3 linked regions of the Schizosaccharomyces pombe genome follow. The gene in region 1 interacts genetically with each later gene. Each region holds a gene or a part of one and is shown on either strand. Other genes may lie near its edges.

What was found.
Region 2: of ess1 (region 1) and tim10, a mutation in one rescues a mutant of the other (synthetic rescue), as found in Schizosaccharomyces pombe (one study listed by BioGRID).
Region 3: of ess1 (region 1) and coq10, a mutation in one rescues a mutant of the other (synthetic rescue), as found in Schizosaccharomyces pombe (one study listed by BioGRID).

What each region holds. Positions count from the first base shown.
Region 1 is NC_003423.3:2,966,383-2,973,558, reverse strand, and holds ess1 (protein ess1), read left to right. Parts: upstream 1-4,606; 5' UTR 4,607-4,763; coding exon 4,764-5,237; 3' UTR 5,238-5,296; downstream 5,297-7,176. Other genes in the region: aly2 (arrestin Aly1-like protein), read right to left, coding at 1-1,363; origin recognition complex subunit Orc6, read right to left, coding at 5,352-5,964, 6,023-6,204; iss9 (nuclear export factor), read left to right, coding at 7,037-7,176.
Region 2 is NC_003424.3:942,986-950,367, reverse strand, and holds tim10 (Tim9-Tim10 complex subunit Tim10), read left to right. Parts: upstream 1-1,715; 5' UTR 1,716-1,786; coding exon 1,787-1,887; intron 1,888-2,235; coding exon 2,236-2,404; 3' UTR 2,405-2,492; downstream 2,493-7,382. Other genes in the region: Ino80 complex subunit Ies6, read left to right, coding at 1-70; Ragulator complex subunit Lam3, read right to left, coding at 321-639, 688-722; pumilio family RNA-binding protein Puf3, read left to right, coding at 4,441-6,407, 6,464-6,627, 6,676-6,743; SPOM_SPAC1687.21 (fructose-2,6-bisphosphatase), read right to left, coding at 7,202-7,382. UniProt on the Schizosaccharomyces pombe protein: Mitochondrial intermembrane chaperone that participates in the import and insertion of multi-pass transmembrane proteins into the mitochondrial inner membrane.
Region 3 is NC_003421.2:877,631-886,302, reverse strand, and holds coq10 (ubiquinone-binding protein Coq10), read right to left. Parts: upstream 5,138-8,672; coding exon 4,643-5,137; 3' UTR 3,409-4,642; downstream 1-3,408. Other genes in the region: TIM23 translocase complex subunit Tim23, read left to right, coding at 1-202; sorting nexin Atg20, read right to left, coding at 1,130-2,481, 2,601-2,709, 2,768-2,911; gpi10 (pig-B family GPI synthesis protein), read left to right, coding at 5,136-6,656; U4/U6 x U5 tri-snRNP complex subunit Dim1, read left to right, coding at 7,669-7,703, 7,754-7,779, 7,861-7,901, 7,985-8,095, 8,149-8,364; sorting nexin Snx12, read right to left, coding at 8,663-8,672. UniProt on the Schizosaccharomyces pombe protein: Required for the function of coenzyme Q in the respiratory chain. May serve as a chaperone or may be involved in the transport of Q6 from its site of synthesis to the catalytic sites of the respiratory complexes.

The sequences.
Region 1 (7,176 bases):
GATCACGCTCCTTAACCAAACACGTAGGTAAAGCAACGTTGAAGTTGAAAACAGCGCTAGAAAGACCATCTCCTTCATCAGGCGTTTCAAACAGGTTATCCGTGTTTTGATGTTTGGCAGAGCGTTCCGCAAGAAGCACACGACGTTTGGGATCAACACGATGAAATTTGCGGCTTCGGCACCAGTATTCACTTGATTCAACGACAGAAATGGATAACTTATATAAGCGAACCTTGTCGAGTAGTAAAAATCTAAAGGTAATAGGAACTACCTCACCTAAGCGAAACGACTTGCCAGAAACCTGTAATTCATAGTGAAGACGTTCATCCCAATCACGTGAGATATTAATAAGCTCAGAGGAAGAAAGACTAGCGGGAGATGGTGTGCGGACGAGTTGGACAGGGGTACGGCCATTAAGATTACTTTTAAATGTGCCAAATCTTTCTACTGTAGCTTCCAGAAAATATCGTACCCAACCCATTTTTGCTTCTACCGATTCGGGAAAACAATTGGGTATAGCTAAATCAAAATTATAAGTATATTCACCTGGAGCAAAAACACTATAACCCCTAAGACTGGCGGCAGCAGACGAAGGAAGAGGTAATTGCTCACCAACTAGACGTGCTACATCGGCACCGTGTTGAGGAGCGTCAGCGTCTTTCATAGTTGGTTCATAGAACTTCCAATTGTGAGATATAATTACCTTATCCTCATAAGTGTCATGCCCTTTAACCGGAATGCCCTCTGGCCACTCAGTTCTTGATCGACCAGTAAAAGATAGGCTGATTCCACGAATGTTTGCAGGCTTTGCAACACGCAAAACAAGGGCACCACGTAAAAGAGCAGGGTTCTCAATTTGACATTCATTAAGATCAAACCCGGCTAGGTATAAGACGGGTTCAAGAAGAACAATGGAAAGCGACATGCCACCTCCATGAGAGGAGGCAAGAGCTTTCTTGATTACAGGAGGAACAACATCAGAGACGTTGTTTCCAATGATGGAGGTGACTTTTGACGTACCAAACAGGTTTGCAGACGAGGGACTCCAAGTAAGAGGAGGTTTGTTGCTCATGTTGCGCACCGGCGTGAGGGCTGGGTTTGGTAAGACATTGCCGCCGGTATTGGAAGAGGAATTATTTGAATTATTAATAGATGATAGAGACGGCTTGCTTAATCTAGAAGACAAGCCGGAGGATGGAAGGCCGAAGACTGAATTTCTACGATTGAGGCCCGAATTACTGGAACGGTTTTCATAAGGATTAGAATCATTATCATCTCGAGAAGAACCATTTTGGTGGTGTAAAGAAGCCGATATCGATTTCCCAAAGCGACTAAGCGCTGGAATATTCAATTCGCCCCTCATATGGAGTTTGGCGGGAGGAGGGAGAGGTGGTAGTGCACCTGAATATGACGAGTCCGGATACAGATTTGAAATTTTCAAAAGGTGATACAAAGTTGGGAAAAAAAAGAATAAAGAATTACAAAGAAAAAAAGAAAAAGTTACGACCTTGTAATTCCAACAATGGCCACACTTTTTTTTTTCTGTGTCTCGGTTTCAAAGCGGATAAATAAACAAACGGAAAACCGAGATCCGTAAATGCAGTCAACAGAAAAAAAACTTGTACAGTACAAGCAGCAAAGAGCTAGAAAATGAGAAATGTATGTATATTTTGGGAGAAGACAAACCTGAAATAACACGAAAAAACAGTTGAGCTACACGGGTTGCAACAGAGCCCACGGTTCGAATAGATAGGTACTGTCTTCCAGTTACCTTTAGGATTGGAGGGAATTTTTTTGCTATTTTAGCTAATAAGGATTTGAAAATAAGGCCACTATTTTTTTAAGTAGTTCGAAATAAGAACGTGCAAACACGACACCAAGGTAGGAATGAACGCTAGAAAATGGATCGCTGCTAAAGCGAAAGAGAAGGTAAAAATGCAAGAAATAAGTTAATATGTATATAGATATGCTCTCAAGGTCAATCGTTCGATAGTAGTCTCAAAATAGAGAAAAAAAAGCAAGGATTGGCATAAACAACAGATAGATATGAATAAGATGGCGAATCTGCTTTTTGAAACTTGGCGTTATCTAAGATAAAAAAGAAATTGTTCCAAGATGGAAGCTGTAAAGCACTCCAATGCAACAAAAATGCAACACAAAGTAATAAGCCAACTTGCTAGTTTATAAGTGAAGAGAGAGTAGAGTCCCTTCAAGAAGGTGTTGCAAAGGCAGGGTTGTGAAATTGGTGAAATTTCAATCTCATAAGGTAACGAAATCGGAGAAGGCGAGGCAGACACTTTTGTCTAATCACTAGTCCTTAAGTCTTCAATTGCTCGATTATCTACCGGGTGCAGAAGGGAATCAAATGGCTGGCCTCTTTGACATACTTGTTACCAATCGTCTGTGATTACCGAAACAAATGAGTCAGCAAGGTTAAAGAGCAATTCGCCTCTACGAAAGTAATGAAAACAGTTACTACTAGTTGTAAACAAACACACGAAAGAGTGGATTGCTATGGAAATAGAAGCAATGCTGTACTTAGTAATCCAAAAAAAAAGCATTTTCGAATATATCATATTATTCATTTACTTATCGCCCTTCTTTCCTTGCTGATCCAGTACGTTAAAAATTTTTTGTGTGGTTTATTGCATTGTTCCTGCTGGTACGTAAATAGATTAAGAAAACAATAGGTAAAACCTTTTTTGGGGGTGTCCCGGGGTTACGGCGATTGTTGACATACACAAAACTATACTTTGCTGTCATTTTCACGTAGTCCTCTTCTACGGAACGTTGCACCCTACATTTAACTTTTACTCTATTCTTTTTCTTCTTGTTTAATATTAATATCAGAAAATGTTAAAACGTTTTGCCATAAAGAATGCACGTACTATTTACTAATGTTTTAAGCTTTGCTATGTCTTCTTATCTCATCCGAGCGTGCTCGCTATTTTTTTATTGCTACCAATTTAGCGAGCATGGAGGAAACGTATGTTACTTGTGTTTACTTAGTATTTTAAAGGCGAATAAGGAGGAAGCGTAACGGGCTGGTGAGTGGTCCAATATGCGGGCCTTGGCTTCTAACTCTGCTTATTGGTGAATCTTATGTATTGTAAATCCCGCATTTTTTTAGTCGATCCTTTGTCGATCAAGCTGCACGCGAGCTCACTAAAAATCAAAATAGCAGAATGCACTGCTCTAGCATGTACAGTGTCCCAGTAGATGTAAAAAGAAAGCGTACGTAGTTATGTAATTCCAGATTGCCATAGGCATCTTAGTATAGCTAATATCATCCCTGCTTAGTATGGACTGTTTATATCATTATTTCTACAAATATTACTATGATGGTATTACTTATGATCATTACTGTTGCTGTTGTAATAAACTACTATCATGACTAAATACCATCATTGACTATTATGATGTTTTTCTCTTTTTCCCAACCTCGCTATTCAAACATGAAACATGTATAATCAACTATTGTAAACACTAACTCCAATGCTGTCTCAGCGACTGCCCAGGACTACCTAGTCTAATTGCAGTACAATGGTACCATTTGCAATCCCGACACATGCGATAAATATAGATTATTCACGATTTTCGCACTTTCAACACTTTTATCATCCTCGCTCCGACAATATTGTTTCTCGTATAGCGTCATGTCAGTCGTAAACAGGCCTGAATAATGTCATCTGTTTTTTGTTCTGGCTCTTTGAATGATTCTCGTCGTTAAAGATATGAAAAAAAAAAATTGGCTTAATAAGCTCCTCAACATACACGCCACACCTCTTATTCCTCGCAAGCACTTACTGAATCACTCTTGCTTCTACAAATATGCAGATGTTTTATTGGTGTCAATTTTCAAAAAATACCACTTTACCATACCATACCATACCAGTCGACCTTTAATCACCCTAAAACATTAACCTTTTAGGGATCCCTAGTGAACACAACGTAAAATGCTGCAGGCTAGAATGACTGGCCTTCCCAATTCTGGCTAAGTTAATAAAGGTAAAGAAATAATGTGTGTAAAGGGCAATTGCAGATGAAGGTATACATTGAAATGCTCACACAAGTTGTAATCAATCAGAAAGCAAATAAAAAAGTTGCATGTAAATTTGTCTACGGTAAAGCATTAAATGAAATATGGACAAAACACAATAGTTGGAATTTGACTATTTGCCGTATAAATTCGTGTAGCTGGTTATCTGTGCTACGGCATTGCGAAAAGTACAATATGACTTTTAACATTAAAAATGATACCAAGTATTCGAAAATTACTTGCTGAATAATGATTGTCGAGGATATTTGGCATGTTTTTATATTAGACTAACTATGTATCCGTCACTAAGCAAACTCCAAGTAATTCACTCAAATGAACAGCTATCTTAGCTGATATTTAGATTTTGCCAAGTCTCATTTAATAATTGACTATGTTATATTCTTCATCAATATATTATTTCAATGAGAAAAACGTATCCAATTACTTCAAATTTAGCATTTCTGTAATTTTTTAATTTCATTGAAAAGTATGCTTTAATTGAGTTTTTTTCTGCCCCTCACATTCTACGGACTTAAAATAGGTGTATCTATTCATGCATATTCATTCATTCACCATCGTAATCCACCAAAAGGCAAATTACTCTAATCCTCCAAAATACAGATTCGTTTCGAACAACATACCCATACTCTACTATCTTCTTGTTCTTTCAATTTATTACATATAACGGCTTGTTAAGCTGCATTCCTAGAGTTTCTTTCGCAATATGGGAAAATTTGCTCTTAACTTAAACGCTGAGTTGACTGGTGTGAAAAATTTAGCTCCCAAGGATGAAGAATCCTTCTATTATGCTTTTAAAGTCCAATGTAGTGGTTGTCGAGAGATTCACGACAATGCCATTGAAATCTCCCGCAGCGAGACTCACAGCATACCTGGCAGCAAGGGCGAGGCTAATCTCATATGGACGTGCAAAAATTGTCGCAAAACTTGCTCTTTCGTTATAGAGGGGCCATTCTCTCCTTACAATGATTCTCAAGAGACGAAAAAAGTTCTCGTATTGGAATGCAGAGGATGTGAACTAGTCGAATTCATTCCTCAGGGAGAATGGATAGCTAATGGTGCTGAAAGTAATACACTTTTTGACGAAATAGTATTAGAGGATGATTGGTATGACTATGATGAAAATGCCTCTTCAGAAGTGTCTATTACAAATTTGGAGTGGTCTATTAGTAAAGCTTAGAGTCTAATTTAACTTTTTTTTACTCATGTATTTGTATATATCACTAAAGATATCGTGTACCCGTTTATAAATGTTGTTTAATGTACAAAAAAAAATTAATATAGTAAATTGTATTCATGAAGCAGTACCATCTTTTTCAAGCTGGCTTTTGTAATATTGGATTCTTTCTTCAATGCAGGCCTTCCATATTGGATAATTTTGAAGTCGTTTTTCGTAATCTATTTGAATCATGCTTGCTATCCCACTCCAAGGTTTTATCCGTTGCTTTTGAGATTCATAACCCTCTATACCATTTAAAGGGATTTCTTTATACTGCCAACTTTCTGAGAGGACATGCATCCAATACTGAATTTGCAATGCAGAACTTGTATCCTGTAAAACACTCTGTGCCTTTCTTCTCTCGGTGTGATTTATATGAAGTTCGTCTTTTCCAAAAGCTTTTGCCGATACTAGTAAATAAGCTGCGATTATGATGCCTCTTTTGTGTTCGATGCGCATGTCGTTTGTAACAACGGCTTTCACCAATTGTTTAACATAAGGTATAGCAGTTGAGCCCCCTAGTTTGGTACAAAGATAAGTAATGGTTTCCATCAGATCATCTTTAGCTGCTAAGGATTTAGTTAATGGAGATAAGATTTCTTGAAAGTAAGTGAAAAGTTTATAGTATTTCTTTTTTGGAATTGGAGTCGCTAGTAAATTTATTTCCAAATTTAAATCATTGGATAATCTTTTTAAAGAGTCAGAACAAGTTCAAGTAGAGTAATTAAACATCAGAAGTTACTTACAGTTCACAAGCTAAGTGCGCTGCCATATAAGGACGGCATAACTCTTCTGTCGCCTTTAGATTATGTTTATATTTGGACCATTCCAAAAATGACTCTCCTAAACTAATAAGCCGTTCATTATATTCTGTACTTTCAGTGGGAATTATTCTGCGTAAAGACTCTATAATCTGTTGTCGCTCCATGAGAAAATGAATATATTTAATAAAACTTTTATCATTTAATTTTGATTATTAATTATTGAAATCATGTAATCATTCATAATATCATAATAGTGGTGAACGCTTAGTTTGTTTTATGTCAATATGGTGTTTAATACAGAGACATTTAAACGATGTTTTTAATGCTGCTAATACTACCAGCTGTTTCAAAAATATAAAATCTATCTACTTGATGCACCACTGAATTTGGTGTTTATATTCCGTACTTATTTAATATGACTCTTGCTTAATCATTCCGGTTGCTAGTTATCTTAAATAATGTCACCAAAAGCTTAGAATTTAGACCTACATTCTTCAAGATATTACTACAAAACTTTCGAAGCAGTCTTCAAATTTTTTTTTATTTAATAATGAATTACGATTGCTTTATTGGGAGGTAGTGTTTTAGGCTTGATAATTCGGTATATTACTCTCTTTTAGTAGTTTAATCAAGGCTATATGAGGCATACAGAATAAAATATGCGTGAATAGCGTGAGTTAATATTAACTACTTTCCATGTTGGTTTCATAAATTTTAAGCGAACAAACAAGTTTAGGTGGAACCGTTGAATTATTTGATGACTTTTTAAATTTTTAAAGGAAAAAATGATGAACGATCAACTGAATAGTAATAAATTAATCCTTATTGATTGAAAGGTTGGATAATGAAATCGACTTACAACGTTACTGACAGGGTTAAGCTGACGGACTCGCACTTCTCATACAATCTCGGTACTCACCACTTTAGCAATTGAGGAAGTTGAGAAAAGTACTTAACTTTAGCATTAATCATATAGCTCAATGAAAAATATTAAATATGAAAAAAGAACATCATAGCCCTTGGCCGGACTCTTTGAAAGAATTTATTGGTAGATGCATCCAAGACGCTGAGGAAAACAGCCAGCCAGAATTAGAGGATGAAGTAAAATTGCTAATTTCTCGTCAATACGAAATGGG
Region 2 (7,382 bases), on another chromosome or scaffold:
TCGGGAGCTTCCATCTGGAGCTGATCAAGAGTATCTTAAACTTCGCTCATCGGATGTTGTTCTGAAGTAAAATTAATAGACTTAAAAATGAACGCTATACTTTACTATCGAACTCGCTCATTTTCTCCTGAAGTGCATTAGACCAGGTATGGGTTACGAACGAATATTATACTTGCTACAGTACATAATAATAAAGATATTTTTTTATAGTCTAAAATGAAAATATTCTTGGACGTCGACGTCGCCGTGGACAGATACTAGGAGCCGACATAATAAATAAGGTGTGAACTTCATTGATAGTAGGAGTAAATATACAGCAACTAAAGTTGAGAAATAACTTGATCCAAAGCATTGCTACATTTAAGAGCTCCGCGTAATGCATTATGAGCAGCAATGGTCGTAGAAACTACCATACCAGAACCGTCCTTTTTTTCTTTAGCTATTTGCAACACACAACTACCTCGTGAGTACTGGTTTGTGATAGATAATGGCTTTCCAAATTCTAAATGTTTAGCCAATTCATTAGCATGTAGACAAGCATCCGTAAGCTGAACCAAGGTTGTCCTATCTGTAGATTCTGGAAAACAAAGCACCTCCTCTAAGTTTTGATCAGCAACGTATAAAACAGTTTTTTCCTTTCTTCATTTTTCATTAGTATGGTTGTAATTTACTTTACTGAGAACTTACGATGCTAACTCGGACAATTGCTGTGAAACTGACATTTTCGACTCGATTTATTTACTTTTGATGCCTCGCACTATTTTTCTTACTGAATTAGGCCAAAATTCTTCTTCCAACAAATTAAAAAACAAAACAAAACAAAACGACTGTCTGTGCGGTAAGCTGAGGGTTTCTGATGTATCGCAAAGATTGCGTCTAATACTCCTCTGTTCAAGTTACGTGTACTGCGCACATATGGTTATGGTACTGACAGGGTGATATTACGAACTGCTGTAAGTCCTTAAAACTACATAAAGAGAGTATGCTATGCCTCGTTATATATACGAGCAAAGTTTTTGACGGTTTCATTAAAATCACTTATATTATATTATTTCTGCCAGCATCCTTTTGTTACGTTTGGTCGACCCGTGATTAGAGATAAACCCAATTGTTAAAAATATACATAAAACCTCTGTAATAGAATATTTATTATATTTGGCGATCCCGGTGCATAAATTCCCACTGCATACAATGATATGCCGATTATATAATAGAACAAGTTAACAAAACGATATTTGGTCCTTTCATATATCCTCATATGGAATTGCACTAACTTGCGTAGTAAATAGCTGTGGATATTTACACTGAAAGTACGAGTTGTATTGACTGTGGAATTTCTAGTATTTAATGTCAAAACAAAGTTGAGTGCAAGGATAGGTAGGAGGCATTATTGCGGAATTTTGATTATAAACACGTTCAAAAAACCCCTGGAGCCATGTCAGTTACAAATGCCAATAAACTTCGTTCTTCCGCATTCCTGTCAACGAACATTTGGCAGTCCACACGGAAACGAAAAAGCAGTCCAATTTTTTATGAACAAATTAGCAGGTAGTTTTAAGAAATTAAAGAAATAGAGAATGACTACAAACTGATAATTATTAAGCGGACAACGTGGAGTTCTCATGGTACATCGTAGCCTAAAAACTAAGGATGTTACTTGAAAGCTCACTGCTACTTTAAGGTAGATGCTTTAACAATATGCCTACTCTCATTCCACCGCAACAGTGCTATCGGTTTAATAAAAAAACCAAATTGAAAGCAATCTTTGCGCCATAAATCTATAAAAATGTCTATGTTTGGAATCGGAAAGAATAATCAGACCATTAATCCTCAGAACATTGCTATGGCTGAGCAAGAGGTTGAGATGATGTCTGATATCTTTAATAGGTATGCTTAATAGAGAAGCTAAGGATTGATATTTACAGCCGTCTATTTTTACGTTTCAAAATTCATCGTGAATTTAAGTATTCGAAGGGTTGTCAAAAAGTTACAAAGTCTCAGTACATACCTTGAAAGTAGTGCTGTACTCGTTTAAGTCAATTGTACTGCATACCTAGCTTTTTTAAAAACTATGGTACTTTGGTAGACTAATTTTTGGCAACGTAATATTATTCCAATTTTACATAAGTATTTGTTTACTTCTTTAATACATTTACATTGTTTTATCTTATGAAAAGACCAATCCGACGAATTTCTAAAAATTTTTCTACAAAAGTCGCTAACATTCCTTTCTAGACTTGTAATGACCTGTCATAAAAAGTGCATATCTCCTAAATACTATGAAGCCGATTTAACGAAAGGAGAAAGCGTGTGTATTGACCGTTGTGTATCGAAATACTTTGAAGCAAATCAGAGTCTTTCACAGCACATGCAAAAGCGTGGTCAAGAAAATCCAACACCATGAGCCCTTTGATTATCAACACATCTACCATTGTAGTATAAAATGGGTCATGTCCGATCCTATGTTACGGATGGAATGCTTTAAAAATTTCTCTACGACTTTTGGGATTCTCATTATACAATAAATAAAATTAATTTATAGTATTATTTTGAATAATGGAATGAAACCTGTGCGCACATCCGTGATATGGTGGTTCATACAGAAATAATTTCGTTCTTTTTTATTTGATGTCGTGTTAAACCATTTACGATACTCTATAATCTATGGAATGATCAACTTCTCTCTTCTTTTTCAAACGAAGCAATACTAATTATTAACTCTTTCATGACACTCTTTCTATCGTATTTCAAACGAAAGTTCCACCAAGCCCTCAAGTTTTCCCATCTGTAATTGTTGCTATTATTATTAATCACCCGTTCTCAAACTGAAACCTTTTACTATTCAACCCATGATTTAGCAGTCATTTGTTTTAGCCGAAAATTACTCATTACGCTATCGTTTTCTAGACTCTAGGAGATGTAAATAACTTATGTTTTAGGAAATAGTGTCCCGCTATTAGCCCCCACGGAAGCTGTCGTTTTTGTGAACTTCTTGGAAGAGATGCCTCATGCAGCGCCTCCTTGAGACTTTTGCAATTGTAAATCTCTTGTGCATTACCTTCTATAACGATATAAAGTACACACTGTACTGCAGCATTACTCACAAGCATTTGTGTTCTTCGAAGATTTCTTTCCGAACCTAGTCGGAGCTGCGTTCCACCTTGTTCCGTGCCTGCGTTAAGTGTTTCACGGAAAGTAAAGGCACGCTATACGCCTGACGGCTGATTTCAATAGACAAGAGATATGTCTGCGGATATAGTACCGTTGAGCGCAGTGAACGAAAGTCGTTTGGTAGTCGATATGCAGCAATTGCTATAGTTGAATACATAAATAGTAATTCTAAGTTTGTAAAAAATAGAAATAAAATTGTAAGATTAACGACATTGTATATTTGTTTAATGGTTTGTTCGACCGATCGTCATGACATAAAGTGGAAGCGCTCAGCTCATCAAACTTACCGGGAACCACTTCGACTCCAAGTTTGAATTGCATTTTATTTTTTACCCTTTTGGTTTCTTTACATTTTTTTCTAAGTTTGATATCAATTAATCGGAAAGCACTTTGAAAAACTACTGATTCATCATATCAGAAGCATACTTTAATTTCCTTAATACCACCTAAGGCGCTCGAAATTGTGAAATCTCGTTTCATTAAAAAGAAAAGAAGCTTTAGGTACTAAAATTACCATAATTGAACGCTGACTAGTCTTGGCGAATCCTTTTTCATCATCATTATTCTCAACTACGATTTCATGTTAATACTTGTTGGGCTTCTTCGATTCGAAAACGGGAAATTTGATTCTAACAATCATTCTTTATCGATTCATTGATTCTTTTTTTTCTTTTTTTACCTTCCTCTTCTAGATTTTTTTCTACTTTTTGTAAGTTCATAACACTTCGAACACAATTTCATATTCGTTGCATCTCCCTTATATAAGCTTTACCCTTCCAAAAGTTTTTTTCCCGAGCTTTACCCGACATTGATTTATTTGATTTAACTAATTTATATATATAATATTCATAACATATATATATATATATATATATATATATACATTACTAATTCTTTTGGTGTCCTTCGTTAGTGAGTGAAGCAGTCGTTGCTAAACTCTTACGAGATTTTGAAGAATCATCCAATTTTTTGCCGCTATTTATGCAATAATAGGTCTCAATTCAAAGCCGTAGAAATACTTTTCCTCAAGTATTTTTGTTTAACTTATTACTTTGACCGGTACAATCAACCAGTGGAGACAAGCGACATTTACTTTATTTCATTTGGGTTGTTTCTATTTCTATTCTTTTTTTACTGTTATATCCTTCTTTGTGCTTTTTGGTTTGCTCCAAGTATCAGTAAAACTTCGTTACACTCCTTTTTTGTGCTACATCATTTGTAAATCTTTACACTTTCGCTTACCTGTGAAAACTGTGTTTCCATTTTGTGATGTTTACTGCTGTAAATTCCAATCCAAACGCATCTGAGAGCATTTCGGGAAATTCTGCATTCAATTTCCCGTCAGCACCTGTATCTTCTTTGGATACGAATAATTATGGTCAACGTCGGCCCAGTCTTTTGTCTGGCACATCACCAACTTCTTCATTCTTCAATTCCTCTATGATCAGTTCTAACTATACTTTCCCACACGGATCAAACAAACAAGCTTCCTTAGAGTCACCTGTTTCCTACTCTAACCCGATCCCGTCTTTAACTTGGCTTTCACTTGACGGGGATTCTCCCGATTCACTGGTATCTACGCCTACTGCCCCTTCGGCTAATCATCATGGTAATCCCTTCCCTAATGGTAAACAAAGTATAAAGGCGATGCCAAGTCTTGTTAATTTGCAAGAAGATTCTGTTATCTCGAAGTTTCCTAACTCACTGGAGGTCCCTTTTCGTAAGCGTTCCGAATCAACTAGCTCTTCTTTATCTGGCCTACATTCCGATTTGCGTCCTTTGAAGACAGAACTTTATGGTCAGTTGAACTCTGAGTGCGGCGCCCGATTTCCACAAACCCTAAAATCCCCATTGACGCCCATTGGTGGTGATTCTGCTCGTACAGTTTCTGCTAGCACAGCAAGAACATCTGATAAGTTTTTCCCTCGCCATACGCGCGCACATTCTGATTTTTGGATCCCAGCTACAAGTAAACCTTCAAGACATGCTTCACATTCATCAATAGGCGATTTAACTACTATTACCCAATCTTCTATTTCAAGTGGCTCAGGATCTTTTAAACCGTCTTGGGATGGCTCATTCGACTCAAGTTTGATGGCTCATCAAAGTTATGGAACTTCTCCTGCATTTGCTAATGGTAATTCACCTACTTTGAAGAATGATTCGTCATTTTTTGGATCAGCCTCTGTACGTCCTACTGTTTCTCCTATTGGTACTTCATTTAGACAAAGTTTGCCTGATATATCTGCCTTTGGTATTCCAAAAACCGAAACCAATCCTTCTGAAGTAGTTGCTCCTGGGACTATTCCTATAAGTGTATTACCAACTTCCAATTTTTCGGCAGCCACTCCAGCTAACCCTTCGTTAATTAATCAAAATGGACAGGAATTTTTGCAACAATCCAGAGTTCTGTACTTATTTCATGCAAATAAGCAGAGACATTTCGAGTTATCTGATATCCTTGGAAATGTAGTTTTGTTCAGTACCGATCAACATGGCTCAAGATTTATTCAACAAAAGCTTGCGACGGCCACTGAAGAAGAAAGGGAAGCAGTTTTTCAAGAGATTGCGTCTACTAGCTGTTTGCAATTAATGATGGATATCTTTGGTAATTATGTGGTGCAAAAGTACTTCGAATTTGGTAACGAGAAGCAGAAACAAATATTATTGTCGCAGATTAAAGGTCATGTTTTTTCCTTATCTTTGCAAATGTATGGTTGCCGAGTTGTTCAAAAAGCTATTGAATATATTTCTCCTGAGCACCAAGTTCAACTTATTCAGGAATTAGATGGTCACGTCCTAGATTGTGTATGTGACCAGAATGGAAATCATGTTATTCAAAAAGCTATCGAATGCATTGATACTGGACACTTACAGTTCATTCTTAGAGCTTTGCGCCCACAAATTCATGTCCTTTCCGCCCATCCATACGGTTGTCGAGTTATACAGCGTGCCATTGAGCATTGTCATAGTGAGCGTAAATTAATTATAGAAGAACTGCTACCTCACATTTTGAAATTAACTCAAGACCAATATGGAAATTACGTTGTTCAACATATATTGAGAACCGGAAGCGAGAGCGACAAAAAGTACATTTTTGATCTTATGATAGATCATTTGCTATTTTTAAGTTGTCATAAGTTTGCATCTAATGTTGTAGAAAGGTGTATTTCTTACATTTCCGACGTTGATCGACGTCGAATTTTGAACAAAATCATCTCTGAGAAGGCTGAAAAGTAAGTATCCTCTTTTATTTGCAACTCCAAGAATGTATCTAACTAATTTCGTTAAGTTGTAGTATTTTGATGTTAATGATGAAGGATAAATATGCGAACTATGTGATTCAAAAATTACTTGATGCCTCTCCAGAGGAGGAAAGGGATCTTCTTATTTCTTACATATATCCTCATATATCTGTTCTTAAAAAATTTACCTATGGGAAGCATTTGATAATGTGTAAGTGGTTTATTCAATTTTTTTTTTCGTTACTAATTATTATGATAGCGGTGGAACGTTTCCGTCAAAAATCCATTTCCGCAGTTCCCAAGCTGGCCAGCAAGGAATGCAAGTAACCATATAATATGATGAATGTGGATTTTGCCTTGCTTCGCCGGCTTAAAGTGGTACAAAACTCTTCCGTTAGAAGTTGTACATAAACCTTTTTTTTTAATGTGTTTGTTTTTTCATGTACTTTATGACACTTTCCGCATCTCATCAGCGGGGCACGAAATGAACCGAAATGTTAAACGTGATGCTCTTTATTCCATTATGATATTGTTATTATTGTTATCATTTTTATGATTATATTCACTATATATGGAGACGAACAGCAGCACTTATTATTTAAGATAAGCCAAATTTACCTTTTGAATGAAAAAATATTAATTTAAAATTTTATATAAGCATATACTAAAAAACAAAATTATTTGAAAATTTTAATTTAAACGTGAGCTATCACTAAAACATTAGTACTAGCTATCTAAAACGAGCAAAGGAAAGCTTGATAGGTCAAAAATAGTAAGTAAGAGGTTTAAGCAATTAATTTGCCAGTCTCTTCCGATTCAAGGTGAGAGGCATCTCCGAACGTATGAATATGACCGGTCCCATGCTCAGTCACCTCAATCTCAGTAATGCTGGTATTAAAGGTTATGATTTTGCTTTCGAGTTTCGATTTGTCAAAAGTGAAACCCTTTTCCTCCATAAAATGAGTT
Region 3 (8,672 bases), on another chromosome or scaffold:
GTATAATGGAATCAATTCTTTAATAGGCTACAAGCGCCAAAAGCATGGATGGGAAAATAGTGTTGCAGCTGGTGCATTGACAGGTGCTCTTTACAAATCTACTCGTGGACTTCGTGCTATGGCTATTAGTAGTTCGCTTGTAGCCACTGCAGCTGGCATTTGGACCCTTGCAAAGCGTTCTTTCACTAAGCGACTTAATTAAAAAATTCTTTTGTAACTTTTGGTTATAAAATTTGTACGATAATGTGAGTTAGGTGTTCCTTTTATGACACTCATTTTCTCTCACTCTTGTGCGGACCCTTTTTTCCCTAATTTGTAAATCCGACAATGGATTTATGTCTTTTGGTTTTATTCATCTCATTTATGTCGTTTGATTTTCCTAAAAATTCAATTCTATCAACACCCTTCTGTCAAAAAGAATTGACTGCGTTTCTTTTTCCTCGCATTTGTAATATCTCTGAATCCTTGATCCTACCTCCTTTTCGCAAAGGGAAGGAATAAAACTACTGAACAAACATACGGGTTCTTACATTTTGTTTTGTTGGAATCCTTTTATTTGAACAGTACATTCATATTTTGACATAAATATCACTTTTTTGTATCATTTTTATCCCACAGCTTTTTATTACATTGTATTTTTGTACGTGATCAATATGGAAAGAAGGTTAAAGTTCTTGTTAAGTAATTGTTTATTCAAGTAATTCGTAAAATGGCTCTATTCGAGCACACTTTAACTAACAAAAAAAGAGAAAAAGGGTAGAGAGAAAAATGAAAGGATTTAAACGATTTGTCGGTACATATTGATAAAAAGGTAAGAGGAGGAACAATGAATATTCACAAAGAAGAACAGCTTTCATTGTATGCTTTAGTATTATTAATATTTCTAAATCTATAATAGCATTAAATAAATTTTTCATTAATAAAATGTACTCGACCTTAAAAATTTATCCAAGCGATAGATCTTCCAAGGGAAATATGACTTTCATAGTTAAGGCTTGTCATGTGGTATTATTAGTCATTAACAAAATCGTAAAAAAGAAACATAAAAAAGGATGTATGCAGAAATTAAAATAAAATACAAAGTATGTAAGACTCGGAATGCAATTATAAGCAAACCTACCCAACGTACTTATATGTCCTTCGATAAATTTTCGAGTTCTTCACGAGTTCGCAACCATCGTTGTAAATTTGTTTGTGCCCATTTGTAGATACATTCATGAACAGATTTAATTATTTCTTCCCACTGCGACGTCTGACATTCTTTGTAGAATTTAAGCTCTGCATCCATGAATTCGTCAATTTTTTGACAATCCCAATTTGCAGCCGCTAGTTGATTCTCTATGGTATTCTTATGCTGCTGGAGACTTTCTTTGCTAATGGAGGTTTCACCTTCTACAAAGTCATGTAAAACGTTTTGTAAGCGACCAAAAATTGTGTAACCCTTTTTGGCTTGGGAGACAACTGCTCGTTGAATAGTATTCAATCTGGTCGCCGGGTGTATCGTGGGTGAAGCAGCTACCATAGAGTCGGTAGCAGACATTGTGTTAGAGTGGATGAGCTGGTCTTGAAGAAAATCTCGCTGTTGTATCTTCAATTGCTTATACTTAAGAGCATCTGCGGCACACTTCGCCAGCTGCATAGACTGAACCATTTTTTCATAGACGGAGGAATTAAATTCTTGTTCGAATTCCTTGGCGTACATTCCGCTGAATTCAAAGGCATTAGCAATCACTTGCAAATGATTTGCTAATTGTATTTCATTGAGAGCAGTCAAAGAGTGAAATGCCGATCCTAACTTTGAAAGGCAAGACTCCATTTTAGAAATACTAGATAAAGTTGAATGTATGGAAGGACTCAGACTATGATGAAGGAATTTCCGACAAACAATCACTTCTTGAGTATAGGAAGTCAAATCTTTGAGTACTGGAGAGGGTGCGTCTTTACCATTAGAAATGCTGGAACGACGCTGTGTGGGAGATAACTCCGAAGGTGAGCTATTGTAATGTGGAAAGTCTGGTGCCGTTGGGGTAGAAGGACTTTCATTCAATTCATGCGTAGGTTGCATATCGCTTGTTGGGGGATGACATTCATCCTCAGAGCCCAAAGGAGAAGAAGGTTCTAAACTCGAAGCAGTTGAAGGATTAGATAAGGAATGGATTGGCTTTAATGCGCGAGACGAAGGGGGACTTAATGAGTTGGCCATTACAAGTGGCATGGAAGAGCGCAAATGAGCGAATGGGTCATGCTCAGTAGCAATAGGAGGAAGGCGGAGTGGATCAGTATTTGAATCCTTTGGTAAATCTAAAGATGATAAAGTCACGTGCCAAGAAACAGTGCTATGAATAAACTTATCGAAAATAGGATTGGAACGAATGCATGGATGCAAAAGACACTGACGAAGAAACAATTCTAGCATCCTGGAGCGAAAATTTAAGAATTCAGCATCACTTTTAGCTTTTCGTGGATGTTTGGCATAACTTACTAAACAGCGGAGCATGTGTGTACAATGAATTGCACACAGCCCATGTTAATAAACGTTTGAAAAGAAAATGAAAAAACGCGATGAAAGATATTATATCTAAATATATTGGAAAACTTACAAAGTGATTGTTTTCCCGGTATAGGAGGAACAATTGCAGCGGGATACTGCCGACGCATCAACTTAACCAAGGACTCAAAATCCGAATATCTCCGCCAAACGGAACGCTTCTACAGTATAAAAATTAGCAGCTAAACTCATAGATACCAAGGATCTCAAGCCACATACCTGGTGTACAATTTCATACTCAACATACGAACCGTCCGAGGAAGTTACTGTACCGACGATCTGGATTTCAGTTGAATAACCACTTCCTCCCGAGTCGCTGGATATAACTTCAGGTTTCTCTTCGTAAGAATCGTCTTGTGCCATACTTCTTTAATCGATTTAATGGAGAAAGAAATGTAGCTAGTTCGTCATATAAGTCATGGCTTTGCAGACTGGATTGTATTTCGTTGTAATATGATAGAGATCGCAAATCAATATACTTATAACTACGTTATACTGTATATGAGAATGGATTAGATAGCGTTATACTGAATGCATTGTAAAATGGGTTTCCATAAGGTCAAAGAAACAATCAGAACTTTAAAATGACAGGGGAAACCTATGTATATAAAATACGAGATTTCGAAAAAAAAATAGATTTTGGTTTACGTGGAGAATTTCTTAGTACTATCACAGTAAACAAGTAATGCAGTTGTAGAGGAGATTTCTTTTTAAGGTTATGATAGCGGACAGTGATTATATTATCCAGTATATATTTCGAAACATCTTATCAAATCACTATAGTTTAATACCGATGGCTGTTGTAGCTATCGTTAACTGGATTCGTTTGGTTATATCGTGCGATGTAAACAATGCGGTATAAATAAGAGGTATATTATAATAAAACTTGTTTTCATCCTCGAAATGAACTAAATTAATAATTTATTTTCAATGATAAAAATTATTCTAATTTCACTATATAAAAATGCTCATGGATAATTTCCACAACTTCTAATGGACCTATGGAATGGTGATGCTATAGTTTATTTCACGAAAAAACAGCTAGAACTTTTAAGGCTCCATTCAGCAACTTTATATACTAAGTAAATCCTTATAAGTTAAAAGCGATAAAAGGATTTTACATAAAAACACTTTGCTTCATTTATTTACTGGAGAAATACTTCCCGTTAATGCAAATCGGCAAACACCGTATTTGCATATTGCACAGTTTAATAGAGCACGATATTAAAATGTTGGTAAACACAAGATTGTTTTTCATAAAATTCGTTTCTGTAGCTATAATGGAAATCATGTCATGTTTATCATCGAAAGAAAAGTCGACTATAAAGGTGCTCCGGGTATTTCATGAATTGTCTTACTTAAATGATTTTGCTTTCCCTAGATATATCTCAGTAGACCAAATTTGATAGACTTTTTAACAACGATCATCATAGATCACTTTTTCTTTCCTTCAGGGATTCTTTACTTTTAAATAACACTTGTGATTGTTCTGGATGCATTTTGAATGCAAATCTTCATGAAGCATTCCATAACCAATTTCACCTTCTATTCAAAAGCAAGGAAGGATAATTTTGTAAACAGTTGACCTTCAAGGACTCCTGATCTCTGGTTATCAACTTTAGAGGCAAAGCTCATCCGCAATATTTCAGCACTAAATAGAAAGAGAGACACCCCTATAATTATATATATTTGGTTATCAGTGACTCAAGAAAAGGAAGGCATATTCAAGACATATTGTTAAAACAAAAAAAAAAATACAGTTTCGTCAAAGTAAAGTTTCTTTAAGAAATGAGAATTCCTCCTAAGCTCTTGATTTAATAGTAGAGAAATAATTTACCAAGTTTTTTGTTGTGCATCAAAAAAATTGCAGTAAAGCAAACTATACCATGATATTGGCGAGTATCCAAAAAAATGAAATAAAATAAATACATAAGGTGAAGAGAAGGATCCAAAATTTAGCTTACTGAAGCCATGATTTCCTAAAAGAAACCTTTTATAAAAATATATCCTTCTTTGGTTGAAAGAGAGACGATGGAAAAACGCTGAGATGGAAAGAATAGCGGCATAGCCCCTTTGTATGCAGGATCATTGTAATTATTTCTCATTTTCTGATTCTAGCTTATGCTTTATTTTAGCCTGTTGGACGAATCCTTGAATGATTTCAGAAGCTACAGAAGATCCAACAAACTTGCTCATCATGCCATGGAGTTTGCTTGCAAATTCAAAATCCACCTCTAAATCAACACGAACACGTCCCCGAGATGCCTCTTCAATACTCCAATGTGTTTTAAGCCGCCGGAACAGACGATGATGGGACGCGTCTGCCAACACGGTTAGGGCAACAGGATCACAAACCACCTTACTATCAAAAGTTTCACACAATCCTTTAAAACCAACTGTAAGGTCGGCCTTTGTAGGATATCCAGTTTTAGGATCGTATTCAGTGACTTTGGACTTTTGACAGAAAGGCACAAACCGTTCGTATTCGTTGACATTGCTTATTAAACTGAACAAGAACGAAGGCTTGTAAGGCATAAGTCTAGAAGCGCGGTAGCATTCCAACCGTCGTAACGTACATCGAAAAGCCATGAGAATTTGGTTTTGGTTAGCGATTCTTGTTTTCCGATGGTGGAATGCGTTGTGGGTAAAAACGTTCTTTCAACCTGATGAATTTTACCAATCGTTAGAGGTGGCCCATCACTTCATATTCCGCTATGGATTCTTAACGTGGGAATGGACCTCAGCAATCCGTTCAGCTCTACATCCGCTTATATTTGCAGCGCTATATCGTGTTTTGCAAGTACTCAAGTTAGACTCATCTTACTTCGTTTTCACGAACGCTCCAAAACTCCTGCAAGGAACGTTTGCTGCTATACTAGATTATGGAACTTATAAATTTGCACTAGTAAGATATGGTTCTAAAACCGCGAATTGGACGTTGGCTTGCTCTCTTGTCTCCATAATGAATGCGTACGTTGGTGTCCGAACCTTTTCCAATTCATTGGAGACAACATTGACTTCCATAGGATTTTACTATTTCTCTTACTACCTAAAATATGAAAACTCTTCTCCTGAGCAACGTAAGAAAGCGTACTCTTCACTTTTGGGCTTCATTTCAGTCGCAGCCTTTGCTTGTTTCATCCGACCTACAAATATACTAGTCTGGATATTCCCACTTTTATTCTGGAACAAAAATCCTCAAACACCCATAAAGGATTTACTCTCGTTTTCCAATGTTTTTAATCGCTTTCGTTTTTTATATGCTCTCGGTTATGGGCGGCTTTTTGGCATATTCGTTTTGTGTGTGTCTTTATTTTTAGTTAATATTATTGCTGATAGAATACTTTACGGTCGTTTTGTCTTTCCCATCATTTCGTTCTTTCAATTTAATGTTACTTCAGGCCTTTCCTCTTTGTATGGATTGAACGCATGGCACTATTACCTTTCTCAAGCCCTCCCATTAATATGCGGAGGATTTCTTCCATTCGTATTACTCACAATGGACCTTCAAACAGCGGGAACCATTCTTTGTGTTTTCTTTCCCTATTCACTGATAGGACATAAAGAACTTCGGTTTGTATACCCAATTTCACCGATTTTACTTACTTTAGCTGGAAAATTTTTTTCATCATTTTCCTCTTGGAAGCGTGCAGCACGGTTTTTCTTCCTTATTGGATTGGGACATGCTCTGGTAATTACATTTTTATGCCGATTTCATCAATTTGGAGTCATGGAAGTTATGCCATTAATACATTCACTTGCTGAAAAAAACCAAACTGGTCTAATACTTGCTCCGTGTCACACTACACCATGGCAGTCGCATATCCATTCACCTTTTGCTGAAAATGGATGGAAGTTCTTGACATGTGAACCGTTCGAAAAGCCCTTTGATGAGACGGATCGTTTTTACGAGAATATGCCTACTTTTCTAGATAAAATTAAAGAATGGCCGGATTATCTGATTTTCTTTGAAGAGCGGTTTTATAGCTTATACAGCTATCTTGACTCCCGAGGGTTGAAGTATGAAGAAGTACAGAGGTATTATAACTCCTTGATTCCTGAAAGTCGAGAGAGAGCTGGAGCTCTGTTAGTGTATAAGAAACTCTAATTACATGATTCTTCATACCCCAAAAATTTCACAGGTCAGCATAATTATCTGCATTTTAACAACTATTGATGTATTTTAAATGAAACCACTGATGACTATTACTTGCTTTGGACAATATTTGGTTTATCCCTAAAACGCCAGCTTGATTTCTAGCTCCCCATTATAAACGATTTGCATTTCTATTATGGTTCGTGGATTATAGAGGGGGCCATATCAAGTCTTCACAGAGCAAGAGGAAGCAACAATTTGTAGACGAATAAAGTAATCCTAAGCCATTTACTATTAAAACTTAAGACATGGGTGGAACACTTATCTTCCCCGAAGCCATTATCATGAATCAACATCATTTTAAAATTTTCAACCTTTGGCGACTTTAACCTTTCAGAAATTTTCTTAAATACAAATTTATAGCATATCCTGCACTCTCCAAACAAATCTGAAAAAGAAAAGTTAGCTTACAACGCGAACACCCAAGTCACTTAAAGAATTTGCAATTGTAATTTTATGCTATGGAGTCGAGAAAAACGCAAAGGTCATTCGTCTATGTTGCGATTGGGACTTGAAAAAATAATTTTATACGGCCTAGCTACGATTCTAAATTAAATTTTTTATAATAGTATTTCACAAAATATTTGGAATATTACGGATACTTTAATTTTTAAACACAGTAAACTGCTTAAACGGTCGGTTTCTAGAATTGTAAAAAATTCTGAATTTCATTGTTTTATTAGATGAAGTATGAATATATATAATTGTAGTAAACACATCAACGATTCAACTAAGCATGTAATGTACGAAAGTAATAGCAATCCCACTTGTGTCAAGAATCTCATAACTTCACTAAATTTATTTACTGAATAGCATTTACACTATTATACGCTTTTTTACGTAGAGTTAAAGCATTGCTACATCCTAACGCGCAAAGTGTATATTGTGTGACTTACATATCTACACTATTCTCGTCTGCTAGAAATTACCAAAATATTGCAATTCAGCAGCTTCAGTTGATATAATGAGTTATTTTTTACCTCATTTACATTCTGGATGGTAAGTTTTTGTGATAGATGGATTTATTCTTCTCTAACTTATGTTTATAGGCACGTTGATCAAGCAATTTTATCAGGTACGCGAACTTTAAGAAACGTAGAATGTTTCTCGTTTCACAACTTCGAATCAGCTTATTAACCTTTTTTTTTATAAATAGAACAAGAGCGCTTGGTTGTCATTCGATTTGGTAGAGATCATGTATGTTCTAATGTCGATATCTACTTGGATTAAGTCTATTTAATATTGTAGGCGGATTAATTTACTAACGCGTAACGGAATAGGATGAAGAATGTATAAAACAAGATGAAGTCCTATACAGAATTGCTGAAAAGGTCGTCAACATGGCTGTCATATATTTAGTGGACATTGACGAAGTTCCTGACTTCAACAAGGTAAGTCTAAGTCTTAGTTGGAAAGTCATGTTGCTAACCTTATTACCATCTAGATGTACGAGCTTTATGACAGAACTACAATAATGTTTTTTTATCGAAACAAACACATGATGATTGACTTAGGTACTGGTAACAATAACAAAATCAACTGGCCGTTAGAAGATAAACAAGAGATGATCGATATTATAGAAACTATTTTTCGTGGTGCTAGAAAAGGTAAAGGTCTTGTTATTTCTCCAAAAGATTACTCTACCCGACATCGCTACTAGAAGCCACCATTTGCTTATGCAAGAAAATGGAGAGGGGATAGAAAAATCATAGTAATTTGATAGTTTTTGGCTAAAATGAAAAAGTCTTTTTGCTTTAATTTTTACGCATAATTTGTACTTCAAATGGTATAACCCTTCTTTTAAAGTCAGTAACAATACAGGATTTGAAATTATCTAGTGGATGAATTGTAATAAAGTATTATCAAATCCTATGAAGAAATTACATTATATGATTAAAGAAAAGCATGAACATGATTACTCTTGCTATGATTTAACAAGAGAGGTAAAAAAGTGACACTCAAGTTGCC